Linked DNA regions of Rattus norvegicus. The protein of the gene in region 2 interacts with the protein of the main gene of each other region in a biochemical or structural test. Links are inferred from orthologs where the notes say so. Each region holds a gene or a part of one and is shown on either strand. Other genes may lie near its edges.

Region 1 (3,888 bases), on a different chromosome or scaffold from region 2:
TTGAGTCTGGCCTCAAAACTCCAAGAAATCCACATGTTCTACCAGAACAAGGTGCCTACCAAGCCTGGCCTACATTTATAACACTTAATGGCAAGTATACATCAACTACTACCAGTAACCTTGCATAACTTCTGACATTTATAATACTTTCTCTTACCTAGTTTTCACTGTTCACCAGGCAAAACCCTGTACTCTATCTACTTTTTAAAGGCACATGCCTTTAATCCCATCTCTTACTTAGGCGGAGGCAGGTGGATCAGAGTTCAAGGCCAGCCTAATCAAGACAGTGGGTTCAGAAAAGCCAGGCCTATTGCACAGAGAAACCAAACAAAAAATGTGGGAGGCTGTTTTTTTTTCCTTTGTCTGCATTTGTTCTTCTTTAGACAGTCTTAATACTCCAAGCTGGACCAAGGATGGCCTTGAACTCTTCCTACCTCTATCCCCCAAGTGCTCAAATTACAAGAGTAGGCCATGCACATTCCATGAAGTATGCTTAAGAGTAAAATGTGTGTATAGTTTAAACTAAGATTAGTAGCATATTTTTGTCACTTAATCAAACCCATTGTTTTCTGTATAGCCCTGGCTGTCCTAGAATTACTAGATTTACTCTACATTCAGATCTCCTGCCTTCCTAGTGCTGAGATTAAAAACTGTGCCAGAGTGAAATACCAATTTTATAATAAGTTTATCTAATGAAATAACTCCCAGGTAAGTTAATGTGACACAAAAACCCTTTATTAGTATGGGAGATTGAATCCTGGGCATCTTGAATCCTAAGCACTATCACTAGCTATATTTAAAAGAACTCGGACGGAGGAGATGGCTCAGGGGTTAAGAGCACTGACTGCTCTTCCAGAGGTCCTGAGTTCAATTCCCAGCAACCACATGGTGGCTCACAACCATCAGTAATAAGAGATCTGATGCCCTCTTCTGGTGTGTCTGAAGACAGCAACAGTGTACTTATATAGAATAAATAAATCTAAAAAAAAAAAAAAAAAGAACTCAACACCTACAAGAGAGCAACTACTTTAATTTTTAAACATGTTTTACTATGTAGTCCTGGGCTGCCTTGCAATGGGATCTTGCTCAGGATCTTCCTGTCTCTGAACCTCCAGAATGCAAACATTCCGGGCCTGCACTACCATAACTAGCTGTAAACTGCTTTTTTTCCATTCTAGATGGGTAGGATTAATACTGGAGTATCTGTAAACTATTTCTGTGCCTTTTAATTATTGTTCCCAAGTCCAGATTGAAAATGTCCTGTAAATTTCGGTATCAGGTTCCTCTAAAAAGAAAAACTCATTCCCACCCCACCCCCCTTTTTGAGACAGGGCTTCTCTGTGTAGCCCGAGCTGTCCTGGAACTCTCTCTCTGTGACCAGGCTGGCCCACAACTCAGAGAGATCTGCCTGTCTCTGCCTCCCAAGTGGTGGGAGGCATTTGGCGTGCACTGTCACCACCTACCGGCTAAGTCTCTTCTTGTGTATAGTCTATTCTAGTAACTTGACCTGCCTAGAAATATCTTAGTTTCTCTACTACTGATTTAGTCCGGTCCTGTCAACCACTTTTAAGTCTCACTTCTCTCTAGGACAGCAGTACCTACCTCAAGCAAAGTTCCACTAACTTATGTGATTTGTAACCTGCAGATAAAAAGCTGTAATTATTCCAATTACAATTTACCTTGGGCACTTCCCTTTACAAACCAAAAGCACTCCCGACTTTTACCCATCTATCCCTTGAAGAAAAAAGTAATCACTACTTAATCTATTGTTAAAACGCCGTTCAGATGCCATGTGGCCGGCCTGGAATTTAGAAGCTTCCAGTACTACACCACCATGTTATCGCTCCCCCACCCACGCCCGACATTTAGCTTAGAAGACAATAACGGAGTAAGAGATTCACTACAATTACATTAACAAGCATTTCGTTCTTCGCTTTCTTGCTCCCCTGCTCCCCCTTGGAATCCTAATGGGGGAAGGAAATGAAAGTAGCCGTTAAACACCAGCGCGCAAAGAGGGTATTTTCGTACGCACCGTGGCCTAGAGGTCACTAGGTTGAACCTGCGCCAAGGCCGAGGCCTGTTGCCTCCCGCCTTAGACCCAATCCCCAACGCACAGGAACAAACGCGGCCTCGGTTTCTGCCGCGAGGCCGTTTTCTCGCCTACAACCCCCTCGCGGGGCCCAGCAACCCAGGGCCTCCCCTGCCCTCGCCCTCTCCGCTTACCAAGAGGAAGGAGAGAGAGAGAAGAGCCTGCCTCTCCTACTGCGGGTCTACGCCGAGAAGCCGGAGCTACAACAGCAAGGAACCACACGACCGTTCGCTCTCCGTCTCTTCACAAAATGGCCCCCGAGCTCCTCTGCCGCCGAGGCAAAAGTCCAGCCCCCGCCCCGCTCCCGGAGGCGTTTCTATTGGCTGTGACTTTTCTCGCTCCCGCTCCTAATTAGATAGCGTTACCGCTCCTCACAATTCCGTCCAATCATCACACGAGGTGGGTTGGGCTAATTGGGAGAATTTCCACATGCGTAACAAAAGCTACTTAGTAATTGGTTAAGCTTTCTATCACTTAGTGTCTGACGGATGGTTATTGGTCACTGTACCAGACGGAAAGCTGGGTGGAATTTTCGCCTTTGTATCGCGCACAGCTTCTCATCCGGGTATCCGGCGGACCTGACTGACGGCCGTGTCGTCCTATCAGTGCTTCCTAGAGATCCTAGGTCCGGCCAGATCACCGCATTTCCGCGGCACGGAGGTGGGAAAGCCTGGGTGGAGTCTGGTAGCGGGTGCAAAGGGCCTGCCCTAGCCTCAGGCCTTGGAAAAAAAGGGAAGTGCAAACAAGCTTTAGAGAAGGGAGGATCGTAATCCCTAGGCCGCCTGAAGTGTTAAAAACTAAACAGGTCTGCAGTTATTTTCAAATTCAGATCCCCTCTCATTGCCAGATTCTATAAGCTATTGGAAGGACGTGGCCTTGTCAGTGAACAGCTCCCTCCAAACCAACTGGTTTCCATAGTTCTCTCCTATAAGAGCAATTGCCTAGACCCCTATAAACCCGTTTCCTGGGCCCAAGTCGTCACACAATCTGCAAAACCAATGGCCAGCCGCCTCAGTTTCCCACTTCCTGCAATAGCTTGATACTACTTAACCCCCTCAGCTCGGCCAGTAAAGCTCTGGTTACACTGTAGAAACATTAAACAGGCCAAAAATGTATATAGCCTACTGAGAAAGGGAAAGAGTACCCCAGGAAATTTCCTGATTTAAAAATAAAAAATAATCTTTTAGGTCTTCTTTAGACCTTTAAACCTTTGACATTTTCAAAGGATTTATTTTAAATGTTCCAGTCCAGCGAGTTTATGTGTTCCCAATTTTATTTTATTTTTTTTTTCTTTAAAGAAAGGTTTGGGCTAGGCGGTATTTCTAGTGCAAGGCCAGTCTACTCAAGTTTCAGGACAGCTAGGGCTGTATAGTGAAACTCTCTGTCGAAAAAACAATAAATATAAGTACCTAGGTAGAGGTAGGTAGGTAGACAGACAAATGGGAAGCCCTTCATGGCTAGGCTTGCGGGCCATTGAACCCCAGGTTCCTTCTGTTTTCACTTCCCTGGTGTTAGGAACAAACACGCAATGATCTCCTCTGACAGAGCTCCTAAGCACAGGCAAAGCAGTTCTGTAAAGAAGTTGGCTTTGGTGAGGGAGGTGCACCTGAATCCAAACCAGAGTAGCAAGCAGGAAGTTCGCTTTGGTTTTTTTGCTACTTATTTAGTCAGGGTCAGACTATGCAGCCTGTATGTAGACCAGGCTGGCATCCATCCCACAGTGATCCTCCTACCTCTGCCCTCAGCATGCTGAGATCCGATGATAGTGTAACCACTTCTGGTCTTGACTTTTATTCTGA
Region 2 (3,788 bases):
ATGTGCCTCCGTCATGATGCCAGGTAGAAAAGAGCACTTGGGACGAGGGTGGCCTTTATAGGGTTCTGGGACTCGGAACTCGGGCCCTTAGATCTAAAAGGCCTGGTGTGCTGGTGTGTGTCTGAAATCCCAGCACTGGTGAGGAAGAGACAGGGCTTCTTGAGGCTTACTGGGCAGCCATTCTAACCAAATTGGTGAGTTCCAGGTTCAGTAAGAAAAACCAGTATTTTTCAATTTAAAAAAAGTGGGTAGGGGGATGGGGAGCCTTTAAGGAATCCATCTACTGTTGATTTCTGGGTCACTCACAGGCTCATGAGTGCATGGACATTGGACATGTTTACCCGAGCACAGAGACCTCTTTACATGAGTCAGGCACATAGCCTTGTGGTTAGGACTGTCAGAGGTGGAGGGAGAGGGGAAGCCACTACTCATGTCTGTGGGATTTCTTTATGGACTGACGCAGATGTTCTGAATTAGGTAGTATCATATTAATAAACGCGATAATGTAGATTTGAAATTTTAAAAGATGCATTCGCTTTTATTTTCTATGTATGAATGTCTGCCTTTGTGGGGTCTGTACACTGTGTACCTTGTGCCCACAGAGGTGACACTGTGTACTGGGCACTGTGTACTGTGACACCGGTATACTGGAACTGGGCTTGGAGACAGTGGTAAGATACATGTGACCCTAAGGCCTCTGGCAAAGCTCTGAAGCCCTGGACTTATTGCATATAAAATTCTTATCAAGGGCATTATGTCTGCGAGCATAACTGAATTCTGAAGTGATGACATTGGTTGCCTGTGAGGAAACTCCATTTTTAGAGTAAATGTCTCTAAAGTGTATTCCAGCTGCATATGGAGGCATTGCATGGCTTAGGCTTAGTAAGTCATGGACTGAAGCACTAGGGGTCCTGTTTGCTTTACCGTGACCAGGTCCTTCAGGGCTTAGACTATCTACACAGCAAGTGCAAGATAATCCACACTGATATCAAGCCGGAGAACATCCTGATGTGTGTGGACGGCGCGTACGTGCGGAGAATGGCGGCCGAGGCTACGGAGTGGCAGAAAGCAGGTGCTCCTCCTCCTTCTGGGTCTGCAGGTGAGGGGCTGAGCCCTCATTGCTCTGTCTGCTTGGGGCTGTGAGCTTCTAAAGCTCTTTAGTGAAGGCCGTGTGTCTGACGTGCACATACGCATTAGGAACTTTTTCTAAGAGTTTAGATGTTGAAGATGCTTTTGCTTAAGATGAGGTTTGAGTTCATTCTTTTAACTCTTTGTCTTCTGTTACCTTTGCTCGTTCTCAAAGGCTTCATCACGTAGGTGCACGCTCCCGTGTGGTCCAAGTTTCTATGGAGAGTATACGACCAGTTTCTTGTAGCCGACCTGCAGACTTCTGATTTTTTTTTTTCCTGATTTGGGTTTTATAACAAATGTTTTCTTTCCTTAACTACTATACCTGCTTCCATCTCAGTTTAGCCAATAGTTTGGTGTTGGCTGTGGAAGCTCCAGGGTGGGGAGCTAGAAAGGGAAGCAGGGACATGAGCACTAGCGTCGTTTCTCTTGGGAAGTTGAGAGGCTTCATTGGGGAGATTGGGATGGAGATTGGAGTGGGTGTGCTTCCCTCTGGCTGACTGACAGGGCTCCAGAAAGAAGCGCTGCCGCCTCATCACGAGCACCATGGTGATGTCATCACCTCACCTCACGCAGCCCGTTTATGAAGCTTCTGATGCTGCCAGGCCGAGTTCTGGAGCCACTGCACAGTGTGCTGCACTGTGTGCCCTAGTTCACGTGTGTGGTGCTTTCCGTGTAGTCTTCAGACATGGCTGTGCACCTTCTTCGCTAGCTAGCATGTCCATTGCCTCATATGCAAAACATGTTCCGTTATGTGACTGGCTTGTAAGCTCTTCCATTTCTTTTTCTTTTCCTCTGTAATTATTTTGTCAGTGCTTTGAGAGAGGCTGTTTGCAAGAAAAGTGCTTCACGTGCACAGCGTCTCCTGCGGCCTGGAGCTGCGCAGTCTGTTTGAATTGCATAAGCTTTTGCCAGGTTCCTATCTTTAGCAATCTCTGAGGTGAAAGTTGTTCAAAGTTGGGTAGTTATTAAAAGGCAGTATTATCTCAGTTTGCAAATCAAATTACCCAACAGTGCCTGTCTTCCTCTGATCATCCGTTTTGTTTTATTTTGTTTTAGTGAGTACGGCTCCACAGCAGAAACCTGTAAGTATTTACGTGTGATCAGCATGTCAGGAGGGACCGTATTTACGTGTGGCCAGCATGTCAGGAGGGACTGTTTGTTCCTGAGCTGCACAAACTGTGTAGCAAATGTCATAGTCTTCACTAATTTAGAGGCGCATGTTTGTAAATGCTCTGTCATTATATAGGGCATGACTTCCTGCTGTGGACGGGAACAGTCAAAGCCAGTCTCCCCCTGGGCTCTCTTGGCTGCTGTTGGCTGAGTTCGGTGAATTGCAAGGCTTTAGTTCAAATTTAAAATCTAATTGTTCCAGAATCTTTTTTAAATGACTTCTGCCTGGCCTCCAAGTATCCTGTTTTGCCAAAAAACATTTTAATTTTTTATAGCTAGCTGTTTAAGTGAGAAGGATCATTATCTGTTCTGTGATCCTGTCAAATCAAGACAGTTCCAAGTCTGAATTGTTACGGGGGAGTCCAAATCACTTTTAAAAAAATTATTTATGTATGTGAGTACACTGTCTTCTCTCTTCAGACACACCAGAAGAGGGCATCAGATCCCATTACAGATGGTTGTGAGTCACCATGTGGTTGCTGGGAATTGAACTCAGGACCTCTGAAAGAACAGGCAGTGCTCTTAACCACTGAGCCATCTCTCCAGCCCCCAGATCATGTTCATAGCTCTCCCCTGAGCCTTAGGTTTGGGTTTATGGGTCTGAGAAACTTTGCAGACCCTCCTAGCCAGGGCTTTCCAAGACTTATGGCTGTAGCTTGAGGCACAGAAAACCGTGGCTTTTCCTTTTTTCCCTTCTTTCTATCGTCTACTGATTTCTGAAAGTCCATGGTGTTCACAGCTTGGTGTCAGAGCCACATGCAGACACAGTGCTGTTGGCACTGGTCTGGGCAGGTGCTTGTTTTTGTCGTTAAGGATTCTGGATACAGCCAGCAGCAAGGAAAGCTTGCAAGAGAAGATTCTTGCTCACAGCCAGGTATTTCACGGAGCTCAGCTCTCCTACTTTCCTCATAGAAGTTAGGGGAGACTAACCGTGTGAGCACAGTCCTCCCCTGAGGTGGCTCTCGTGGCTGGGTTAGTGAGGAAAGCTGAGTGTGTCCTGGAAAAGCAGTTACTGTGTTACCAACATTTCAACTCGTAAGGAGTGTTTTAAAGAGTGCTTTTCTGATCCAAGGTGTCATACTCCCGCCTGACACATACTCTCTTACCATGTTGTAGATAGGAAAAATATCTAAAAACAAAAAGAAAAAGCTAAAAAAGAAACAGAAGAGGCAGGCTGAGTTGCTGGAGAAGCGCCTGCAGGAGATTGAGGAATTGGAGAGAGAAGCCGAAAGGAAAATCCTAGAAGAGAACACCACCTCTGCAGAAGCTTCCAGTGAGCAAGATGGAGAATGCCAGCCTGAGGTGAAACTGAAAGAGGCCGAGTTAGAGGACACAACTGAGGAAGAGACAGCAAAGGACAATGGTTAGTCCAACTCAGAGCAGGAGGGAGGGCTGGTCGCGTGCGGGAGCTTCACACGGGGTCATTTCTGAGAGCGTCTGAGAGTATCTGAGCTGCCACCTCAGTCACTAAGGACGGCTTTCTCTAC

Evidence for each region. The genes of interacting proteins can lie anywhere in the genome.
Region 1: of the proteins of Srpk2 (region 2) and Hnrnpc, one has a biochemical effect on the other in vitro, tested with the Homo sapiens proteins (2 studies listed by BioGRID and IntAct). The link is inferred for Rattus norvegicus from reciprocal best matches to the Homo sapiens genes SRPK2 and HNRNPC.

Annotation. Positions count from the first base shown.
Region 1 is NC_086033.1:27,280,339-27,284,226, forward strand, and holds the start of Hnrnpc (heterogeneous nuclear ribonucleoprotein C), read right to left. Parts: upstream 2,378-3,888; 5' UTR 2,224-2,377; intron 1,640-2,223; exon of another isoform or gene 1,603-1,639; intron 1-1,602. UniProt on the Homo sapiens protein: Binds pre-mRNA and nucleates the assembly of 40S hnRNP particles. Interacts with poly-U tracts in the 3'-UTR or 5'-UTR of mRNA and modulates the stability and the level of translation of bound mRNA molecules. Single HNRNPC tetramers bind 230-240 nucleotides.
Region 2 is NC_086022.1:12,523,607-12,527,394, forward strand, and holds part of Srpk2 (SRSF protein kinase 2), read left to right. Parts: intron 1-933; coding exon 934-1,099; intron 1,100-2,187; coding exon 2,188-2,213; intron 2,214-3,417; coding exon 3,418-3,664; intron 3,665-3,788. UniProt on the Homo sapiens protein: Serine/arginine-rich protein-specific kinase which specifically phosphorylates its substrates at serine residues located in regions rich in arginine/serine dipeptides, known as RS domains and is involved in the phosphorylation of SR splicing factors and the regulation of splicing.